Nothobranchius furzeri: one gene and its partners. The protein of the gene in region 3 binds, or shares a complex with, the protein of the main gene of each other region. Links are inferred from orthologs where the notes say so. Each region holds a gene or a part of one and is shown on either strand. Other genes may lie near its edges.

Region 1 (3,665 bases), on a different chromosome or scaffold from region 3:
GCAGGTTTTTTTGAAACCCAGCAGCTCCAGAACATCCTTCCTGGAAGGGTCTTCCTCAGTGGTTTTGATGATAATGTGCCTGAGCACCACGGCTAGTCCTGCCCTGCACAGGCGCCCGCTCTCATCCACCGCTGCCGGGAGACGGCAGCTCCTCACCAGCTGGGGCAGATCCTCCAGCTGGACCCAGCTGACACCAACAGGCACTGGGAGCTGGCTCCTGAAAGCGTCCGAGCAGCTACTGGTGTAAACCATGAACACTTTGAAGGACTTGCACTCGCAGTATGATAGGAGAAACATAACTATGGACGTGTGCAGGGGGAGACGCAGCTCCTCGTTCTGGGAACAAACCTCTAAGAAGAGGGAGAGATGTTGCTCTTTTTTCTCGTTGTGCTTCATTGTAAATAAACTAGAAGGACAGTAAAACAATCAGTTAGTTTTATCATTGTTTTAGTGTTCTCTGTTGGTACTTTTACGTCTAGATTACTTAAATTCAACATATGACCCAAGAAAAATGACTTACCTGAAACAGGCGGACCGGTGTGTTTTGGTGATTCTTCTTCTGCTGTTTTTTCACTAGCATAGCTCCACAGCGCCGCCAGCGGTCTTCTCAAACGTTTCAAAACTCTCTTCATGAAAGAGTAACACCTATGTACAAAATATGTACCGCAAAGGAAAACATACGTGGGATGAATACTTATTTTATTATAACCAAAATAGTATAATAACCACGCGAACGCGAATACAAATTTCGCAAAACGTTCCGCCCTTGCAGACTCCGGACATATTTGTCGGTTACTCAAATGTGAAGACGAAACGCCGACGGAAGTGTTGCTCAGTTTTCCGTTGTTCAATAGAAAGAAAATATTCCGGTAAAACAGAAAATACACCCAGTCTCGGGTAAGCCTGTGTTTATGATAATTATGAGCTTCAATTTTAGAATTATAAAGCGACCTCGGTAACTACCGCGGTGCTTCTGTGGTTGTAGTCCGTCTTCCTGTTTTTACTCAGAAACCAAATATTTGCCAATGTTTAAAGTCATTCACAGCAGTTGGATCGGTGGGACTCGGCTTATAGGCGCCGGCAGTTCTTTTTACTTTGATGAAATGATACTAATTCACAGCATTACGTGAATTGTTATTGTTTGATTTCTAGTGGAAGCGATGGCTGGACCTGTCAGTTTGGAGCTGGATCCCATCTTCCTAAAAGGACTGAGTTATCTACATTCCAAGAGCAAAGATTCAGCTGAGAAGCTCAAAGCTCTACTTGATGAGTCCCTTGCTAGAGGCAGCGATTCCTCTTATCGCTCTTCACAAAAAGTAAGATAATTCATTCTCATATACACTCACCTAAAGGATTATTAGGAACACCTGTTCAACTTCTCCTTAATGCAATTATCTAATCAATCAATCACATGGCGGTTGCTTCAGTGCATTTTGGGGTGTGGTCCTGGTCAAGGCAATCTCCTGAACCCCAAATGCCACGGGCTACCTGAGCATTGTTTCTGACCATGTCCATCCCTTCATGACCACCTTGTACCCATCCTCTGGTGGCTAATTCCAGCAGGATAATGCACCGTGTCATAAAGCTCCAGTCATTTCAAACTGGTTTCTTGAACATGACAATGAGTTCACTGTACTACAACGGCCCCCACAGTCACCAGATCTCAACCCGATAGAGCATCTGTGGAACGGGAGCTCCGTGCCCTGGATGTGCATCCCACAAATCTTCCATCAACTGCAAGATGCTATCCTACCAATATGGGCCAAGATTTCTAAAGAATGCTTTCAGCACCTTGTTGAATCAATGCCACGTACAATTAAGACAGTTCTGAAGGCGAAAGGGGGTCAAACACCGTATTAGTGTGGTGTTCTTAATAATCCTTTAGGTGAGTGTAGAGAAATCCCCTTAAAGAGCAAGTCACCCCCTACCAGAGTCTTACTCCACTCCCACTTCCTGTTTGAAAAATGCAACAAATGCTGTTACCTGGCAGACCGAGGGGGTGGAGCCACTAACAAATACACACACAGGCTCACAATGACTTTGTGACATCATAATGTACTTCTTAGACAATAGCAATGGCAGAGTTTTTACCTGAAGACGACGTAACACTGACAGTTTTAGGCAGATTATTTAAATTTATCTAAGATGCACCAAAGTGCCAAGTTATTGACTACAAGTGTCTACAGCATGATTAGACACTCATTTATATAGTTTATCAGCAAGAAAGAAATTTGGGGGGGGGGGGGGGGGGGGGGGGGCTGACTTGCTCTTTAATGTCATTCGTATGACATTGTTTTAAAACCAAGTGCTTGTGCCTTCTGTGTGATTGTTTTGTCCTCAGGAGGTGGAAGTGTCAAAGGCATCCGTGTCAAAGCTGAGTTTAAGTAAAGAGCCCAAGTCTTCAAGTTCTTCTTCTGGCAGCAGCGGTGGAAGTAGTAAATCCAGCTCAGAGAAAGGCAAGAAAGAAGGCGAGAAGAGGTCATCAGAGAAGGTGTGGAAGACATTTTTCCAATTTTTACTAATGATCCCAGTAATCTGTGTCGTGTTGCTGTTCAATTGGGAAGTAAAAGTGCACAAATGAATGAAAAGTGCATATTATATAACTCTAAAGCTTTAAAGCAGAATCCGATTTAAATATGTGATCAGGTGTTTTTTGTTTGTGTGATTTAGTCAAACTTCCTTTTGTATTTTGCTGAAAAACAGGCCAGGGTTGACGTGAGCGAAGTGGACCCCCCCAAAAAGCCTCGTTTAGAGAAACAAGAGAACCGCTCCTCTCCAATCACATTTCAGACGAGCAAAGACCTCCTACCAAACATAAACGACTACGACGAGACAAACGCTGACGACTTTGCCATGGAAATGGGTCTGGCCTGCGTGGTTTGCAGGTACGAGTAGCCAATCGTGTAGATTTGTCAGCATGTTATTCCCTCAAATTAATCAGATCACCATTTTAAGCAGAAATTCAGTCTTTTTTTTTTAAATAATTAATTCTCTCAGACAAATGACGGTGACCATGGGAAACCAGTTGGTGGAGTGCCAAGAGTGTCATAATCTCTACCACCAGGACTGCCACAAACCTCAAGTGACTGATAAGGAAGTGAATGACCCACGGCTTGTGTGGTATTGTGCCCGTTGCACCAGGCAAATGAAACGGATGGTGAGGAAAATCAAGTCACGATCCTGCATCACCTTTTTAATGATGAACTAACTTGTTTGTTTGTTTGTTTGTTGACCAGGCTCAGAAGCCTCCTCAGAAACCATCCCCTGCATCTGCATCTTCAGCACCGGTTGTTAAAGACCCGCTGGTGAAAAAGACAGAGCTGAAGGCTAAAACCGATACAACCAGCACCTTCCAGGCCTTCAAGAGGACAGAGGTGAAGGTGTGTGTGAGTATTTTAATTAAAAATGACATCCTCAGTCTTGTTTCTACTAACCAGTAAGGGGTTTAGAGGTAAGAAAAGCAACAGGAACAGTTCCTTTTCTTTCCTTAATTGTTTAGAAGATTTGTTTCTGCGTTTGGATTCAGACAATATGGCAGTTTTAGTGTCAAATATATTCAATCTTATTAGTTTAAGACCTTTTAGGGATCATTTACCAATTAGAATACATTTGTTTTAAGTTAATAAAATAGAAATTAAAATACTAACCCAAAGTACCGTACCATG
Region 2 (3,241 bases), on a different chromosome or scaffold from region 3:
TACTGGACCAGTAGTCAGAGGGTTGTAGGATTGATCCTGGTTCCCAGCAGAGAACTCTGCTGTTGTGTCCTTGGGCAAGACACTTAACTCTCCCTGCCTGCCGGTGGTGGTCAGAGGATGCCGGCGTATTGCTGCCTCGCTTCTTGTTAGTGTGCCCCAGGGCAGCTGTGGCTACACTGTAGCTCATCACCATCAGTGTGTGAATGGATGAATGGTGCACTGTAGTGTACAGCTCTTTGGAGTCCTCTGACCCTGAAAGGCGCTTCACAAGTGTGGCTCATTAAACAGCTCGCATTCATGTGCCTAATAAACCAGTCTGAGTTTATTCATGTGTGCATTTGTCCTGCAGCCCCTCCATGTGGTGTGTCCGGAGCAGTACACCCAGCCCCCCCTCAGCCAGTCCCATCGCTCTGACCTGATGCTGGAGCTGACGCCCCCTCCCATGCCCTACAGGCGCTGCTCCGTACTCAACCTGCCCTTCAGACGCCGCTACGAGCGCGTTTACATCCTCCCTGAGGTAACTGGCAGCTGCCTATTATCCAGTCACAGCATGGCAGCTGACCAACGTGCTGCACGGGTGAACAACGAAAACAGAATGCATAAAAACAATAAAGTACAAATCAGAAAACGAACACAACAAATCGATTACAACAATCAAATCGTGTGGTTCCAGGGCAGCTTTACACCGGGATCATGAACGAAGAGGCCTGCCTCACGTCAGGTGGAAGCCCGCTCCGCTCTGATTTCACAGTGCATGTCAGGAACGCATAAGAGCTGGTGGTTAGCGGACCTCTGAGATGTAGTGGGCACGTAGGGGATGAGCAGCTCAGATAGATGAGGAGGGGCTTCGTAGACAAACGTTAGAACTATCTACTGAACCCTGAAGAGAACGGAGCCAGAGTTGGCGTGATGCGTCTACGTCTGTTCGTGTTTAAGAAGTGCGCCACAGCATTCGGTACTGTCTGAAGACAGTCAAGGGAGGATTTACTAGTACCTAGGAGGATGGAATTAGCATGATCTAACCTAGAGGTTGTGGAAGCACGGATGACGGATTGCAGGTGAGATCTTGTGAGAACGTGTTAACCAGCGGAGTAAGAAGCAGAACTATTCCTGGTTATAAGTAGGAAAACCAACCTCCAGTAAGTAAAAGCTTCCAGTTAAATATGAAAGTTGAATATTCAGCTGACGGTGATTCTTCTTTTTGTAGCTCGCCAACTCACTGACGCCCAATGAGGTAAAACCTGGTGTCTCCGTGGCAACCGTCTCCGCAGTGCTGCACTCAAAGGACAATAAGCACACTCTGCAGGTGAGTCTTTTAATGTCAGGTTTATATCTGCAGTAGAAGGACGTAAAGGTCAAACGGCCACGAAGAAGCCAGGACCTCTACGGCTGGGGCTGTGCAGCAACTAGGCTGCCACAGCCCCATCTAGTGGACAACTTTTGTTTTTACAGTTCTCGTTCGTTGAGCTGACATTGATTTGAGGCTCTAGCTTGACAGTTGGAAATGTTAGTTTTCTCTGAAGTCTCCGGGTTGGACGGGCAGACGGATAAATGAGGCTTTTACCCATAAACCAGTGTGCTTCTAACTCCAATCTCAGAAAGCTCTTCTTGGTTCATGTAACTGGTGAAGCAGTGGGTAGCACTGTTGCCTCATAGTAAGAAGGTTGCAGGTTCAAATCCTGGTGGCTACATGTGTGTTTCCTCCCATAGTTGAACTAGCTGTTAGCTTGTGTCAGATGAAAGTTGTCCTTCTGTGATCCACTTTATTGATTTAATGGCTTCCCTCTGAACTTTGAAATCTAGTCTACAGTAAAAATGTTATTTTTATTGATGTGAAACTCTTGGTAATTGTTTACAGGGTAATCTTACCTGTGAAGAGGTTGGTGGTTCGTTAGTCTTGGTCCATTTGATTTGTGACCTCAAGTCCACCTTCATCAGGTGGAAATAAACAAATGAACTCGCAGCCCGTTTGTTCACAAACTGGTTCTGGTGCCTCAGAAATCCAGACGCTTTTCTTTAGAACAGATTCACAACGAGGCTGGAACCCTGAGGAACTCCACGCCTAAGTGTTGCTGCTGAGAAACACACTTCCTGTGGCTCATGCTGTGATCGGCGGTGGCTCGGGTTCAGGAAGGTCAAAGCAGCAATAATAGGTCATTAAACCCCCCCACAGGTCAGCTGACTATTTCCACTTGTGCGTTTCCAGTCGGTGCCCAAACCGCCACCCGTGGCCCCCAGCAAGAAGAGGAAGAGGGTAGTGGAGGAGCCTCCTGTGGGTTTGGCCCCCAAACCCCTCCTGAGTGGAGCTGTGCCCCTGGAAAGTTTCCTGGTCACATTACAGAAGGTCTGAATTCAGAGAGAATGCAGGACTTCTATCTGCCTGAAGTCTTTGAGCACAGACTTGGTGGGAGTTTAATTCTGATTACCTTTCTCTTCAGCACGGGATCACGGAGGTTAAAGTGGAGGAGACACCAGATGGACACATTCTGCACCTGCAGGCTGAGGACACGCTGATCCAGCTGGAGGACGACGGTACGCACATCGTCTGTGACAACAACGAGCCGCTGCGCACCACGCTGCGGGACCTGGTGCTTCGCTTCCTGCAGAAACTCTGATTTAGTTTCAGACTGTGAGCAGGTCACACCTGCAGAGTGAAGCTCACTTGTGTTTTAGTTTTATAAAACTTCTTATTTTCTATTAAAAACAACATTAAGGGGGTGTCTGCTGTGAGAAGACTGAAGTTTTGAGTTGCAGAAGTGAAAGTTGAGCAGAAAAACACCACACACACACACACACACACACACGGAGAAGCTCCATAAAGAGAGACCATCAGCCGTTTCTTCTCTGACGCCCTCCTCCTGAACCAGATCAGGACTCTTAACGTGGTAGATCTCAGGTTTTAGCTGACAGACACTCTGCTAGCTCTTCAGATGTGGTCTCGGAGTGGACTAGGTGGGCGTTCTGCTACGCTCAGACAAGTTTGAGGTTCCACATGTTGTGCCTCAGAGAGGCTGTTCTGCAGACCTCGGTAGGAACCAGTGGTTATGCTGTGGTCTGTCACCGAGAACCCTAGTGATGGTTTTGGTTTCAGATCCCAGTAGAGAAATGAGCGAGCGGTGTATAGGCTCCACATCTGCTGATTTAAATGAGCAGCGTCTGTAGAAGTCAGCTTGGTTATCATTTCATGTTCAAATCTAGTATTATGCTAGCCCTGGTAACCAGTTTTAGCCTTTTCCCTGCT
Region 3 (3,754 bases):
ATGGCCCATACACAATGTCAAATTAGATTAAAACCTGTCTGCAGTCACGTAAAAACAATGAAACAAGTAACAAGCAACAAGTACTTCCGGTCATGTTCGGTTGAGAATTTCGCAAAAAAGGATCAGTAATTTGTGCGTGCGTGTGATAACATTTTGCAAACGCTTGTATATTTTTCACAATGTTATTGCAAAATCTGGAAATCTAAGCAATATTACCCTCACTTTTTCCATTTCCAAACCACTTCCTCCTTAGTTGCAGGTTGGTGTTGTCTATCTCCAGCAGTCATTAGCTGTGGGGGAAACTCTGGTCTCAGTCCATCTTTTTCTACATCCATCACAAGAACACACAGGTAAACCACCAGTCCAACACACCCAGGAATACATTTTCAAATGCTAATCAACTAACATGCATATTTTAGGCCTACAGAAGGAAATAGTATTACCTGAAAGGCCACCGCCAGGATTTGAACCTACCTTCATGCTGTGAGGCAGCAGTGCTACCAAAATCGCTACCATGCAGACTGAAGAAAGAATTTTTGATGTCCTACCACAGGATTACTTTTATTTTGAAAAACGTGTCAGTAACAAACCGGATGAACTATGTGCAGTGCGATAGGACGACAAAAATAAGATAGACCATCCTTCCCTCTGCGATCACAGCCACTGGTTGGTTTCGTCTTGTTTTTGCGGAAGTGTTGATGTTTTTGATCGAGCTGCACTATCTCACTCAGTGTCATGTGGCATGAAAAGTGAACCATAAACAGGATGGTGACACTAATATATCTAGTAGTCTACAGATAATTGTTTATACATATAATCAACTTAAACAGCTCAAAAGTACACGCACAATGACTTATTTGGTGTCTTGATTTTTATATGTTAGTTCAAAAACTGTAAAAATAACCCTTCTGGTCGTTTTGTTAGTTAAAATCTTTTATATGATCATCACACAGTGTCATGATTTCAGTGTGTTGTTTTCCTTTTCTCTAAACAAATGGCTACCTTCCTTAAGTTATAATCTTACAACATCCATCTCAGCCTGTACTTTTTATTTTGTCTTTATGGGTTTCCATTCACACTGGCCCACGCCCGTGCATATATGAGGAAAATGTTGATTATGCAATCACTCCGCAGGGCAAAACACAAGGCTGTTGATAACTGGTGCTAAAGAAAAACAGCTGGGGTGTTCCAAAAAGGCTTTTCCTACCACATGTGTCGCGTTACTAAACACAAAATGTATGTGAATAATATTTTTCCCTGCATTCCTGTCATTTGGTTAAGCAAGCATGCGCACTAGAGAACTAGCTTTGGCCTTATTTGGATATGTTAATAAGTGGCTTCCTTCAACCAATCAAAAGCTGGGTTGATTGCACGTGACAGAAAAAGAGCGCTTAGGAGGCGGGGTCAGGTGCGGGGCTTCATTTAAAAGCAACGGAGAAGACACAACGCATTCAGTGTAGGGAGAAGCAGGGAGTCACTATGAGGGGGAACTTTGTTACTATGAAACTTAGGAATATTTACAATATATTGTAAAAATTATCAAAATCCATCGTAAATCATTAACCTGCCCCAAGGTTTCGAGGCTTTTAGCTTAGTTTTCCCGGAATGGGCTTCTATACTCACTATTCTTACACTTTTTTGAAAGAATGTGTGAGACAGTTAGCCAGCTAGCTAGCTAGCTGAGGGGTGAGACAGGCGGCAGGAGAACAAAAGATTTTTTTTGCGTTTTGGCCGGTTGTACTGACACCAAGTCCATGCAGAACGTGTCATTACCATCACAATGCCCGTTTTACTTTTTCTGATAGACACGTCCGCTTCAATGAACCAGCGCACCCATCTGGGCACTACCTATCTGGACATAGCAAAAGGCGCTGTTGAGACTTTTATGAAGGTACTGTGACCACGGGACACATTCATGTTGGGAGATCCCAAACGGGATTCTAGTTCGGATTATCGTTGTGCTGTTGCAAGTTCGCCTTGTCAAGCCGAGATCTCCCAGTAACCGTAAATCATTCTCTATTTTCCACAGCTCAGAGGGAGAGATCCGGCGAGCCGAGGGGACCGGTACATGCTGGTAAATTTTGAAGATGCTCCGTTCGGGATCAAGGTAGAATCTGCTTTCGGGTCATGTCCAGCTTTACATTGCGCAGATTGACTGTCCTCCATCTCCCCGCCGCCTTGTGATCAATTGTTGTAGAGAAAATCTCCAGGAGGAGCTTTCATACCCCTTTTAAAACATGGCCGACATTTTATTTCAGTGCGAGCAGCAAGGAACTCTGGGTGTTATTTATACAGAGAGGTGATATGAGAGAGGGAGGGAGGTGGAGGAGGAGGGGTGACGGACAACTAGACTACTTTAGCAGAGAGAAAATTGCCGCTTTTGTCCCGAACACGCTGCGACCGTGCCACATCGTCATGTGTGATCCGAGCTGGTGTCACACCAGCAGCAGAGAGGATCCAGGCTGCGGCGCTGATCTTCATCCCAGCTAAATATCATCATACTTCCACATTAAAGCTGGAAATAAGTTATTTAAAGTAGTTTAGTGACCAGAACAGTAGCTTTTATGAATCACGTGCTTTGTTTTGTCCATAAAGGCTGGGTGGAAGGAGAGCCACGCCACATTCATGACAGAGCTGAGGAACCTCCAAGCTACTGGACTCACCACTGTTGGACAGTCCCTGAGGACATCTTTTGATTTACTCAATCTCAATAGATTAGTGACTGGCATAGACAACTATGGACAGGTATGTAGTCCCCTGGAAATGTACTAAACGCACCCACAACAACCCCACTCCCCTGCCCCAGTCCTACAAGCATCTACTACCCAAACACACCCCTGCAGTCACACACAAACATAACTACCAAAGAAGCAGGGACCGATTATAAGTCCAGTGTTTCATGCTATAATTTTAAAATGTCTTTTTAGTCATAAAACTTAGATGCAGGTTGCAAAGAGGCTAATCTCATATGCACCAGATTATATTTCTGAAACAAAATCTAGCATAAGCCCATCTACTTCAGGACCACGGGGCCCCGGAAGAACGAGAAAATGAGTACAAGTCAATGAGGCTAAAAATGCTATTTTCTGATCCCGTATGGTTTTCACAAGACATCCGTGAAATTTAACATTTTGATGCCAAGAAAGCTCTTATTTTCAAACGAGGGCGAAAGTTATTTTAGGTCTTGTGTGAAACGTTCAGGACTACAAGTACGCATTACGAATTGACATCGAACCAGACATGAACAGAAAAAATGGCTGTACGTTCTGCGAATGTCAAATCCTTCTTTCAGGAGGAAAGAACTACTATAAATCTGGCCATGTGAGAAGTAGCAGCTACGCTAGGGGAGAGGATATTCTGTGATGACATCATATACGATATGCGGTGTACTGACGTCTGATCTGTAGTCCTAGTATTTACGATAAATCTCAAAACACGTGACAGGCGTGATCCAAACACATCAATACTTTTCATTGAAATACAACATATGTGCGATCCAGGGCGTAAAGCAAAGCGGATTAGAAAATAGCTCTTTAAGTCCCGTGGACTTGCGTTCTTTTTTTGTTTTGTTCTTCCGGGAACCCATGAGCCGACCGGAAAACTTAGACTCCATGTTGTTCTAAAAGTTAATATCTTCTGGCACATGGATGCTGAACTGCTATCAATTTGGAGAATTATTAGACTGAATCCAATTTAAAATAGCAGAAAACAAGTTTCATAATGAGTGTTAAATGCTTTAACACAGATGAGAGCT

Evidence for each region.
Region 1: ints6 (region 3) and ints12 share a complex: the UniProt entries of both Homo sapiens proteins name them as parts of the integrator complex. The link is inferred for Nothobranchius furzeri from reciprocal best matches to the Homo sapiens genes INTS6 and INTS12.
Region 2: ints6 (region 3) and ints9 share a complex: the UniProt entries of both Homo sapiens proteins name them as parts of the integrator complex. The link is inferred for Nothobranchius furzeri from reciprocal best matches to the Homo sapiens genes INTS6 and INTS9.

The regions. Positions count from the first base shown.
Region 1 is NC_091746.1:80,675,455-80,679,119, forward strand, and holds the start of ints12 (integrator complex subunit 12), read left to right. Parts: upstream 1-770; 5' UTR 771-897; intron 898-1,152; 5' UTR 1,153-1,160; coding exon 1,161-1,316; intron 1,317-2,341; coding exon 2,342-2,491; intron 2,492-2,703; coding exon 2,704-2,885; intron 2,886-2,997; coding exon 2,998-3,157; intron 3,158-3,236; coding exon 3,237-3,386; intron 3,387-3,665. Other genes in the region: gstcd (glutathione S-transferase C-terminal domain-containing protein), read right to left, coding at 1-396. UniProt on the Homo sapiens protein: Component of the integrator complex, a multiprotein complex that terminates RNA polymerase II (Pol II) transcription in the promoter-proximal region of genes.
Region 2 is NC_091742.1:17,907,471-17,910,711, forward strand, and holds the end of ints9 (integrator complex subunit 9), read left to right. Parts: intron 1-349; coding exon 350-517; intron 518-1,207; coding exon 1,208-1,306; intron 1,307-2,206; coding exon 2,207-2,344; intron 2,345-2,438; coding exon 2,439-2,615; 3' UTR 2,616-2,718; downstream 2,719-3,241. UniProt on the Homo sapiens protein: Component of the integrator complex, a multiprotein complex that terminates RNA polymerase II (Pol II) transcription in the promoter-proximal region of genes.
Region 3 is NC_091754.1:31,095,593-31,099,346, forward strand, and holds the start of ints6 (integrator complex subunit 6), read left to right. Parts: upstream 1-1,553; 5' UTR 1,554-1,780; coding exon 1,781-1,891; intron 1,892-2,029; coding exon 2,030-2,107; intron 2,108-2,595; coding exon 2,596-2,745; intron 2,746-3,754. UniProt on the Homo sapiens protein: Component of the integrator complex, a multiprotein complex that terminates RNA polymerase II (Pol II) transcription in the promoter-proximal region of genes.